3 linked regions of the Bombyx mori genome follow. The main gene of each other region encodes a partner of the protein of the gene in region 2 in a complex. Links are inferred from orthologs where the notes say so. Each region holds a gene or a part of one and is shown on either strand. Other genes may lie near its edges.

The links.
Region 1: the proteins of actin-related protein 2 (region 2) and actin related protein 2/3 complex subunit 4 are in contact, whole or in part, in a cryo-EM structure (PDB 6YW6), measured with the Homo sapiens proteins. The link is inferred for Bombyx mori from reciprocal best matches to the Homo sapiens genes ACTR2 and ARPC4. Residues at the interface, in NP_005713.1 of Homo sapiens: Tyr222, Val223, Tyr225, Gln229, Glu230, Lys232, Leu233, Ala234, Leu235, Glu236, Thr237, Thr238, Val239, Lys253, Thr308, Met309, Tyr310, Pro311, Gly312, Pro314, Ser315, Asp346; in NP_005709.1 of Homo sapiens: Val29, Val30, Glu31, Arg32, His33, Lys35, Pro36, Glu39, Val40, Ala98, Glu99, Asn100, Phe102, Ile103, Leu104, Arg105, Arg106, Lys107, Leu117, Thr119.
Region 3: actin-related protein 2 (region 2) and actin-related protein 2/3 complex subunit 2 share a complex: the UniProt entries of both Homo sapiens proteins name them as parts of the arp2/3 complex. The link is inferred for Bombyx mori from reciprocal best matches to the Homo sapiens genes ACTR2 and ARPC2.

The regions. Positions count from the first base shown.
Region 1 is NC_085122.1:8,792,742-8,795,752, forward strand, and holds actin related protein 2/3 complex subunit 4, read right to left. Parts: upstream 1,482-3,011; 5' UTR 1,414-1,481; coding exon 907-1,413; 3' UTR 628-906; downstream 1-627. UniProt on the Homo sapiens protein: Actin-binding component of the Arp2/3 complex, a multiprotein complex that mediates actin polymerization upon stimulation by nucleation-promoting factor (NPF).
Region 2 is NC_085130.1:7,235,420-7,239,504, reverse strand, and holds the start of actin-related protein 2, read left to right. Parts: upstream 1-1,209; 5' UTR 1,210-1,389; coding exon 1,390-1,437; intron 1,438-1,521; coding exon 1,522-1,632; intron 1,633-4,085. Other genes in the region: CCAAT/enhancer-binding protein zeta, read right to left, coding at 45-156, 635-793. UniProt on the Homo sapiens protein: ATP-binding component of the Arp2/3 complex, a multiprotein complex that mediates actin polymerization upon stimulation by nucleation-promoting factor (NPF).
Region 3 is NC_085109.1:10,839,391-10,843,635, forward strand, and holds the start of actin-related protein 2/3 complex subunit 2, read left to right. Parts: upstream 1-1,328; 5' UTR 1,329-1,646; coding exon 1,647-1,720; intron 1,721-2,227; coding exon 2,228-2,321; intron 2,322-2,683; coding exon 2,684-2,783; intron 2,784-4,245. UniProt on the Homo sapiens protein: Actin-binding component of the Arp2/3 complex, a multiprotein complex that mediates actin polymerization upon stimulation by nucleation-promoting factor (NPF).

The sequences.
Region 1 (3,011 bases), on a different chromosome or scaffold from region 2:
ATGTAAAAGAACAGGAAGAAACATTCACGCTATTTTTACTTTTTACAAATATCAAATTACAATAATTGTTTTTACCCATGAAAGCAGACAATCATGCTATCGACAAACAGTCTATGGTGGAATGTGGACATTGACAATTCAAGGAGCAAAATCAACATGCTGTCTTTGTCAAAAGGTATTACACTAAAGAACTTAAAGGGCTCCCAGTAGTATAATAATAGTCATAGATAGGACACTCAGCACATAGCACAATAGAATATGTCAACAAAGCCCCAATAATTATTAACATGTTGACTGCCATGTAAATCACCGGTGCCCTACGCGGCACACTGACGTAATAATGACGATTTTTCTCTTTGATCTACATATTAAAGTGCCGGAATATCTAGTAGAGTCTGGAAATGACTAATTCACAGGTACTAAGAATAAATCTATCTTTTAGAAGACCTAAAAGTCTAAAATATACATTAACAAACAAAAGAAGGCAAAGTTAGGTAATCCAGGCGTGTAGTAACAGAAATCAACGTAATTATTTCAGTGCGCCGCTTAGGGCACCAGTGACCTGCATTAAATTTTATATCTGTATGCAATGTATTTTCCCTGACCTCTATCTAAATAACGTAATATTTTTAATAGTTCAATTGTAGCCTGTAAGCACCTACCCATCTGTGCTTACCTGGAATAGGCCTTTAGGCTATCAAAGAATAAGTTCAGAAAAAATCTAGTTTCTTCTACAATTACATATTTAAATGTCATTTTTGTAATGATACAATTTATTTGTCTATGAAGGTTATATGAATTCCATCACTAATTAAAATTACATAGCCATCAAAGCAACAAATTTTTCACATGAATTCATACTCTATGTACAATAAAGATGTTTCATTCTATCACTGAAAGAAGTAGTTAAAATCTCTTCAAGAATTCTTCCGAACAAATTCTGGCTCTTGCATTGACAGCCAATTTCATTTCACTGATTTCTTTATCAATTTCTTCCATAAAGTATATTACAAAATCGACCAATTTATGCTTATACATCTGTTCGGTATGGAAGTTAGTAATCAAAAAGCTGATATGGTACCCATCAACTGGTTTCCTCCTTAATACAATGAAGTTTTCAGCTCTCATCATCATGAACCGCATAAATTTTTTACAAAGAATTTTCTCTATCTCATCCGCCTGCTTGATCATAATACTCACCCTAATTGAATTTATTGAAGACTCTATTAATACTTTTTCATTAGAATTTCTTGAAATAACAACAGGATTGAGTAAAAGTTCTTTGCTTGTTCTAACTTCGACCTCCGGCTTGGTGTATTTCTCGACAACTTGCGATGAAAAGTGTTCTAAGCACATAGCGGCAGTGAGCGTGTGACGCACCGCTGTTAGATACGGTTTTAAAGTTGCAGCCATTGTAGAAAATTAAACTTTCGCAAAGATCACGCCACACCTTAAGTTCCTTTCAATTTTTTAGTCATGAATTATCACCATTGATGACAGATTTGACATAAGCATCATTGTTTGATTCGTTCATTACATAGCCAAAGGTAAGGTAGGCCATACAGTCAAATCCAAGTGTGTTGTTGTGTGAAAATGTACTAAATAAAATTAAATGATTATTAAGGAATTGAATCTGAGGTAAGATAAGGTAAAATTGTAGGTATTGGATGAGAAATAATGAAATAACATCTCAGTAAAGTGGAGAGAATTTACTAAAATCTCTTAAATGCAGGGGGGTGCAACTCCCATACAAAGGAAAATAACATACAACTAGCGTCATCTTACTCCTGTGGCGACGTCATTTTTGTAACTTTTAGGCATTAATGATCTAATAAACTCACTAGATGGCATATATGAGTTCTGACTCAATAAAAAATGTAGCGTACTTTGAAGCAGTGCTTCCACTTTTAGGGAATTCTCCCTTTTTTAGGGAAAAATAGCTGATATTTTGGATGATAAAGACAATTTAAAAAATACCAGGATTTAGGATATTTCGGGGTAAAAAGCAAAGCCTATACTAGTAACTGTTGTGAATTTTAAAATAAACGATAATTAAAGTAAAACAATGAACATTTTATTTTATGGAGAGAGAATGACATTAAGTCGAGTTGACAAGTAAAAGAATAAAACAGAGTTGTGTATAAAAACTATAAAGGTTTGATTCAACAGTAACCTTCTAGTAAAGTAAATCATAGATTAAGCCACTGCTTTTTCTTAGGGATTCCCCAGAATCCCAATAAGTATAATCCGCCAAATTTTTATTTACCTATTTTCGTTGATGTCACCAGAACTTACTTGTATTGTAATATACAGGTACTTCATGTACCATGAAAGATTATCATGGTAATTTCATTTACGAAACCTTGTAATTGTCATTTCACTTTTGCTAGCAGTTCCTTCTTCAAAGACTGAGGTGGAAAGATTATTCAGTGTTCTCAAATTTAAAAACTGACAAAAGAAACAGGCTTTCTAATGAAACCCTGAACGGCTTGCTTCATAGAAAGTTCCCAACTTTGCCAGCAAACAATTGCTCAATTTTAGAACCGAACAGTGTTAGGTTGTGCAGCAAAAGAATATAAAAGCAATGCGTCGACTTCCTTGAAAATTCTAATCCTATAGATCTATGATCTTCTGGGGGCGTTTATATTATATATACCTACATTAAATAATATGCTGTGGTTTATTTTCTGTATTTTATTTACGCTTTCTATATAAAGGATTTATGAAAGTTGTCTAGGAAATTTTAGGGTAAATTCAAAAGAAACTAGGGTAAAATGTGTTAAAAAAAACGTAAGTGGAAACACTGCTTTGAAGTTTTCAAAATTCCAGGGCCGTAAAACAATCTCAAAAAAAAAAAAAGTTTTCAAAATGTCGTAACGATTTAATTTTTTAAATCGTTTTTTTTTGGTCTTGGTGTGAGTTATTTTACGTTGTAGTATTAATTTAGAGCAACTTTTAGCTTTATGAGAATATTAGACGATTAGACATTGAGAAACTCTGTTTTGAATTCT
Region 2 (4,085 bases):
CTACGACTAAATTGAACATACATATAATTAAAAGTAATGCTTACTCGTTTCATAAGCTAATGTATCACCGTGCAAGGCACTGGTGGCTTCCTTTCTTAATTGTTCAATTTGTTCTGTCGATAATGTTTTTGGCAACGTGACTGGTTCTTCAGGTAGCTGAAAAATACAATTCACATTAGTTGAAAACTTAACTGTGAATTGGATAGTCCAACTCAATTCTTAAAGCAAATAAGCTTTGGCATAAACATATTTTCGATCAACTCATACTCTTTAAGATGTGGTACACTAGTCAATTTTTTTAAATCTTTTTTTTTATAGTGTTTAGGTATGAGCATCGTATGAGTATCTCTAACTGGGTTGCCAGTCGCAACCGCCATTCGAGCAGCTGAGGACCGGACGAGATGGAAACAGCTCACGAGACAGGCAACGGTCAAGTTTCAGGGACACGACCTTCAGCAATGAAGAAAGCGACGAAGAAGAAGAAGAATGAGCATCGATTACTAATACGACTGGACGATCGAAATCATAGTAAAGGTTAAATACAATTTTGAATTGATGTGTTAAAGCCTTATTTCCTACGCTTTTTTTTAAATAGGGAAAATAAACATTTAGACTTATGTTCTATATCACAAACCTGATGAAACCATTTCTTTTTTTCACCATATTCAAGGCTTTCGGCGAAATTCTTTGCGATACCCTGGCCTTTCTTATCATCTGCGTTCTTATCAGCTTGACCGTAATTAGTGTAAGCCTCATCAATTAATATATTTTCCTCAAATCTTTTATGCTTCATTGTAAGTTATTGTATCATGTTACGTTAAATATAAATAAGGCACGTGAAAACCTGAAAACAAACGTTTCTCAAAACCATGCCTTTCTTGAAGTATGACATTTGTGTGACATTAGATAAATCATTACTTTGGGCTGTCAAATGTCAGTGTCAGGGCCTAACCACTGAAGTATGGCCTAACGAGTCAGTTTTAACGAGCCAAATAAAGTCACAATGAACATTTTATTTTGCTTCTTAATTAATTAAATATGTTAGTTAATTAATGATTAAATTTGGTTGAAATAGCTAAATTAAAATTCTGACAGTTTTTTTACGGACAACACAATATTTCAATACACATGCTAAAAAGACTAATTACTTCAAGGAGAAGGTGTGTCACACAAGAATTTAATTTTTGCATTCAAAATAAAACTTTATACGAAGTGTCTTTAAAGGTGTATTTTGTACTGCATATAGTTTATGACAACGATTTGTCATTTTTACAGAATTGTGAGATTTGCTTTCCGCTTTGCGGGAGTTGGGGAGTTGTGTAGTGTTCTAAAAAACAAATTACATTATAACTTTTTAATATTAATAAAATAAATTAAAAACTAAATAAAATGGACGACAAAGGACGGAAAGTTATCGTTTGCGACAACGGTACCGGCGTAAGTGAACACAAAATTTGTAGACTATTAGAATTTTTAGATAAGCTCTGAATCACGTACGGTTTTCCTTTCGATGTATTACAGTTTGTGAAATGTGGCTTCGCTGGTAGCAATTTTCCGGCATTTATATTCCCTTCCATGGTCGGCAGGCCGATCATACGCGCTGAAAACAAAATAGGAGATATTGATGTTAAGGTAAGTGGAAGACACTTTTTCTCATTATTAAGTTGACAACAATTTTTTTATTGGCCTATTACGAACAAATGAACGTTAATGTAAAGCACATAGAAACCTGAAGGACAAACTTTTGTAACAAAATTAATAAAATCATTTTACCTCTATAAAAATAGTTACAATACTTAAAAGTTTGTAAGCCTTGTTACAGCAAGGAAGACAAAAAGGAATTTCTGTTCATTATTTATAATATTGATCTGTGTTTTCAGGATATTTGTATTGGTGTAAGTAATATAAATACATCTAGGAATGTTTTATTGTTCTAACGTTAATTTTCTTTCTGATGTGTGATGATGATTAAATGCATTATTAACAATTGAAACAACAGTAGATTCTTTTTTTAAACCAAAACAGAGGTTTCATTTAAAAAATTAGTCTGGATTATAAAATATGGAAAGAAAATTCAGGACAAACTGTCTATCGACAGTCTGTTTGCCTATTCCATTGGAAACTAACTGCATGCTATAGGAACTAAAACAATGAGTGTTAGAAGGCTATTAAAAGATTGAGATATGCTTAAGAATTTTAATAGTCTCTTCGTATACTTAAAGAGTCCAGGAATGGGGTTTTGGGAGGCTTAACGACAAAGAGAAGATCTTCCACCGAGCGGGTGATATTGCTCGGTAGACCGATGGTCCGAATGTTGTTGTTCGGAACTTGTATATATGCACTTTATCTTGAAAATGTTGTAAGCGAGATTCAGGCAACTTGCTTTGTATGATGGTTACCTGCCACAGGGTGATAGTGACATCCATGCAAAGCCAGTATTTACCAGATTAGCAGGTTCTGACTTGGAATAGTGAAAACCAAGCATTATATACTTTGTGGCTTTATAAAGATATGAATGAATAGATATCTCAAGCATGAGGTATCCAATTTGTAATAGACTGTTATCTCCAAATAATGTTATCAAATTCTCAGAAGCGCTGTTTGGAGATGAAAACTAGAGAAAAGGGGACTAACATATATTATGTATTAAGTGTGCTTAAAGTGTCTTGTGAATATCTACCGAACTCTACCCTTAAATACGATAATCTTACATGCTGTTTAGTTTTACTCCAATACAATTAAGTTTTAGAATTGAAATCTTCTTTCAAAGATATACATTGGCAAGAGAGTTATACTGTTCACCTAATATAGAGTTTTTACTGAGTAAGCTAGATATGAGAATGTGGATTCTGGTGTATTCTTAATTTGACAAATGAAGTCAAGTGGATGCTACATATTGGAAGAGTAATAAAGTCAAAATCTCATTGATATAATGGTATTCTTATATTATTGCTGCAGAACCAGGTATAACTGGGGTCTCTCTGATATTGATAATGAATATCTACATAGTGTTAGATTTCTTTAACTTCCATAGTCTCTAAACATCTAAGTGATTGTTTGATTTGAATTAATCTAGATATAATTTTTTTTTCAAAAAATCCTTTTCTAAAATTCATTTATTTGTTGAATTTTTTTAGTATTCATGTTCAAGACTATCTGTCCTATGAATAATTGAAACAAATCTTGTCCCAAAAATTGTAAAAATATGATGTTAAAAATAATTACACTACATTTTGAGATTACTCAAACTCAACTTTTATTACTAAAAACACAACTAAAAATGTTGACAAAACAAGGCATGTTTTCATTTTTAACTCGTGTGTGTCTGTTTGTGAGTGTTTGTCTATGTGTAGATTATAAACTAAAACACTTTCTACTGGTGGTAGGACCACTTATGAGTCCGCATGAGTAGGTACCACCGCCCTGCCTATTTCTGCCGTGAAGCAGTAATGCGTTTCGGTTTGAAGGGTGGGGCAGCCGTTGTAACTATACTGAGACCTTAGAACTTGTATCTCAATGTGGGTGGCGCATCTACGTTGTAGATGTCTATGGGCTCCAGTAAATACTTAACACTAGGTGGGCTGTGAGCTCGTCCACCCATCTAAGCAATAAAAAAAAAACACTGTAGTGTTTGACAATTTCGCCTTCTTCTTGACTTTATACCCTGGTTTGTTATTTACTCTCCTGTTAGTGGGAAATTTGCACTCAAAAATAAATAAGTCAAACACACTTTTTTTTTATTGCTTAGATTGGTGTACAAGCACACGGCCCGGCCCACCTTGTGTTAAGTAGTTACCGGAGCCCATAGACATCTACAACGTAAATGCCGTCACCCACCTTGAGACATGACTTCTAAGGTCTTACTTTTAACAGTACAACGGCTGCCCCGCCTTTCATACCGAAACGCATTACTGCTTCACGGCAGAAATAGGCTGGGTGGTGGTACCTACCCGTGCGAACTCACAAGACGTTCTACCAGTAATTTGCTCATAATTCATTATAATGTTATCGTAAAATGAATCGCAGAATCTATTTAGCTACATCACGGGTAACAGTCATAGATATATGTATTTGAAGAGCAAAGC
Region 3 (4,245 bases), on a different chromosome or scaffold from region 2:
TTAAAGCAAATTGTAATTAGGTATAATTGTCACAAAAATAAATCTGACACAACAATCACTATCCAAAGTATTGCTAAAATAAGCAACCTAAGAAATTAAATGAACCAAATAAAGAAGCACCAGGTGACGATGTTAGAAAACAAACCAAAACAAACGGTATTACTGACCATAGATTATTTTTTTGGTACAACTTTTCCTTATTAGGAAAGGCAAGGGAATCTAAGCCCAGCCTTGTCTGTTCTATTGACCATAGATAATATACCTATCCATAGATTATACACTTAGTATATTTGAGATAACTACCTACAGATACGAAAGAACGAAAAATAGTTGACAAGACAGCAGCCAGAATCATGGAGTTAATAAGTAGAATACAGTAGAATATGGCCAGAATACATATTTTTTCTTTGATTCGTTCAATGAATGGGCAAAGGGAAAATAACTCATACAAGTCAAGTAGTGTGTTTGGATAATTTTTTATTTTTTTTTAACCTTGCCTATGCTGATAGTCTTGAGAGGCTATTTCAGCTTCGCCCTAACGTTTGTAGGCGAGCTCGCGGGGCTCAACCGGAGAGTTGCTAGCACTGACCCTAGCAAGAGCAGTGCTTCGCAGAATCTACCACCGGATCGGAAACGCGACCCACTGAGAAGATCCGGCGAGAAACTCAGTGGGCTTGGAAAAATTAGTAATTTGAATAATTAACATTTTACCAAAAGCCGAATGGTGCTAAAGGAAAATATACTCTTTGATGTAAAATCTTAATGAAATGAAAGGAATCAGGTGAAATGAAATGCTGTCCACAACCTCTCAGTATAATGATAATTCTTTTTGAGAGTTCAATAGACTTCTTTTTTAAGAAGGAAGGATTACTTGCGGCCAGTTACCTTTTTAGTTTCACCAAAAGATCTGAGTGAGTACGGACTCAGCCAGGAAGAGTGGAGTTTGTTACCAGCTGCCCGAGCAGCAGTAATTCGCTGAATCTACCACTAAATCAGAAGTGCCACACACTGAGAAGATCCAGCAAGAAACTCAATGGGGCTAAAGGAGATAAAAAGTATGTTGCTGAATCTTGATAACTTCACTCTGCTTTTAGGCGTAGTTTTCAGTTAAGACAAAAAAGACCCATATTCTGGTTTTTGACATAACCGACGTAAAGGTTAAGTTTTTACCACACAAGCACACTTTTTTTTATGATGTTTAATATTTTTCTCAAACAATTCATCAAAAAATAATAAAATATAGGAAAAAGTAGTAACAAAAGGACTGCAATAATTTACGAGTTCAAAAAAATCAATGACATGTCATTATATTCCTAAGAATTTAGGCTGATGTAAGCTTCGCTTGCATCGTGAATTTTTTATTAAAAATTGTTTATATGTATGTATATTGTCTTCATTTTGTAGATAATTGTCATTTTAGTTTCCACTAAAATCTAAGAACTTTTTAAGCTCTCGTTCATATATTCAATTTACACTCTATGGTTGCTTGTCGAATTTCATTAAATTTTTTCGTTTCTTTTCTCTGTCGTTTTTGGTTGTCTATACGCACGGGCGGTCATCGTAAAAATTCTTACTTAAAAAAATTAAATGAAGGTGCTCTAGGCGTTGATTTTATGAAATATCTGTAGGTTATAAATTGTTGAATAATGATCTTACTCGAGATCAATAATAGAATTATAGAAGAAACACTAACGGTTAAATATAAAAATGCACTGGCGCGGTGAGTACGTTACACTAGAAAGTTACTGTTTTTTTCGTGATTAGAATCAATTTATCGAGTACACTGTTTACGGTAGTTATTTAAATTTTAATAGTCATTATGATGATGACTCCTATAAAGATTGTATCCTGGGCATAACCCCTCCAGGGGAGGACTTGACAAGTGTCAAGATTCACTGGGGGTGGTCCCACGTTGACGGCTGGAGTACAAATACCAAGTGAATTGTGCACTTAGTGTCAGAGAACAGGTATTATTGGAATTAAATTCTAATGTGTCACGGTCACAGTGACGCGTTAGTGCCTATCACGACTTGGATGAGTCATATCGGTTGTTTATAAGTGCCACATATTTTTGTCTGCGGAAATATCCCATATAAAGGCTTAGAATTCCAATGACCATATTGCCCGTAAACAATGCACCGAAACTGATACCAAATGTCGCTACTAAGAGGATATGACTAATTTATTCAATAAATAAGTGTTTATTTTTATCCCCTTCTGTTTTCAGCTTAAAGCCTGAGTCAATAGATGTTACTGTAGCTGATTTTGATGGAGTATTATTCCATATATCCAATGTCAATGGAGACAAAACCAAAGTTAGGGTATGTATGACTTGATAAGTGATAGTTAAATCAAAGAAACTCAATACAATGATGTCATATTAACTAGTAATGTGTAGTTTTATGTTTAAAATTGTTTTGTTATTGGTTTGAATAAAAATGTCAATAAAACATATAAACACAAAACATAAATCTAGCAATTAAAAATGTAAAAATCAGTAGCTGAATGAGGTGAGAAAATAGGTTTGTTATTTGAAAAATTTGGAAAAACACCTGGAGGAAATGTTGCTAAACCTAAAAAAAATTCTATGAAGAATAAATAGAATTATGTTTAAAATTAAATATCAACAGACCTTCAAGCTTAGACTCATAAAATGTACATAATTACAAAAATATTATTTTAGGTTAGTATATCTTTGAAGTTCTACAAGCAATTAGAAGAACATGGAGCAGATGAGCTCCTCAAGAGGGTGTATGGACCCCTTCTTACTGAACCAGAGTCAGGTAATTACACAAAGATATTTAAATTTTGTTTTTTTCCTTATAATGGAAGAGATGTGGAGAATATATATATTTTTTATTGCCCTTGTAGGCAAACCAGCTTACGGCCGACCTAATGGTGAGTGGTTACCGTTGCCCATGGACTTCAGCAATGCCAGGGGCAGAGCCAAGTTGCTGCCTACTACTTAATTCTCCCACAAGCCTCGTTTGAAGGAGGACATGTCATAAAGTTCGGGAAACACGTTGATATTATGGTTTATCTGATGGTATCAGTTACTAAGAGTTCAAACTTATCACAACATGAATGATGTGCCCTGCCTTGAGGTATAGTCTAAATCTAAATTATATTAAAATAATGGGTATCCTATCCATGAAACAGAAACGCATAATAGCAACAGCAATGGGATGAAAAGCAATACTAACCTGTAAGGGTAGAGGTTTTTATATCACCAGTACTCTCAATGGGGGAGATTAAATAAGGGGACAGTTAATTAAGAATTTAGCTGAAGATTCTACCACTACAGATTGATGCTGAAGAAGTATTGGAAGTATTGTTTATTAATATATATTTATACACAACTGGATAATCTATTAGCAGTTTTGTTTATGCTGTGGTTGAAATTTTACTAAAATTACTGAAACCTCAGTGTTATTTTGTTTTTTTAAATATTTATTTTCTTTGTTTATTGAAATTTAGAGAAAAACAATTGATAATTTCTAAATTATGTTGATAAGGTTAATATTATTTTGTTGCACCTACCACTATTTTCTCGGCACTACCTTTGGTTGTCTGGTAGAGAATGCCTTAGGCATTAAGTCTCCCATTGTAAATTTTACATGAAGTGTAATAAATAAGTAAATTATTCAGTCTATCGCCAATTAAAAAAAACAGATTGACAACCAGAGATGACAAAGGTACTGAATTCCTTATTTATATTTAGATTATATAACATCACTTGGACTTATTCTACCTTATTTTCCTTAATTTGATATGTACTCATTAGTTGTTTTTGAAGGCCTAGCTGGCATTTAAAGTAAATTAATTTGTATTACATTAAAAACAGGAAATATGTATTTTATCTAAATTTATAGGAGAACATTTTTACAAGTATTTATTTGAATGAATCACATTACTGAAAAGGTGTTTTGAGTCTCCATACATTGGTAACTGTTATGCCTATTTCTACTGAAAAATATCTGGGATCTACCAAGATTTCTAGGCTTCAAGTACACGGTACAAATTCCTGTATGCATTTATGTTGTAATGTATAGGCTCCAATAATTACTTAACATTATGGAGCCGTGTATTATTCTTGTCATCTAGACCTTTATCTGCAACCTTGTCAACCAAAAGAGCCAAATATAGTATTATTGTATAGCATTTTGTTTTAAATATGTTTACTGAGCCAGATAATAAGTAATATTCCGTGCCTAGACTAAACATTTCGCGGAATAGCTATAGTCA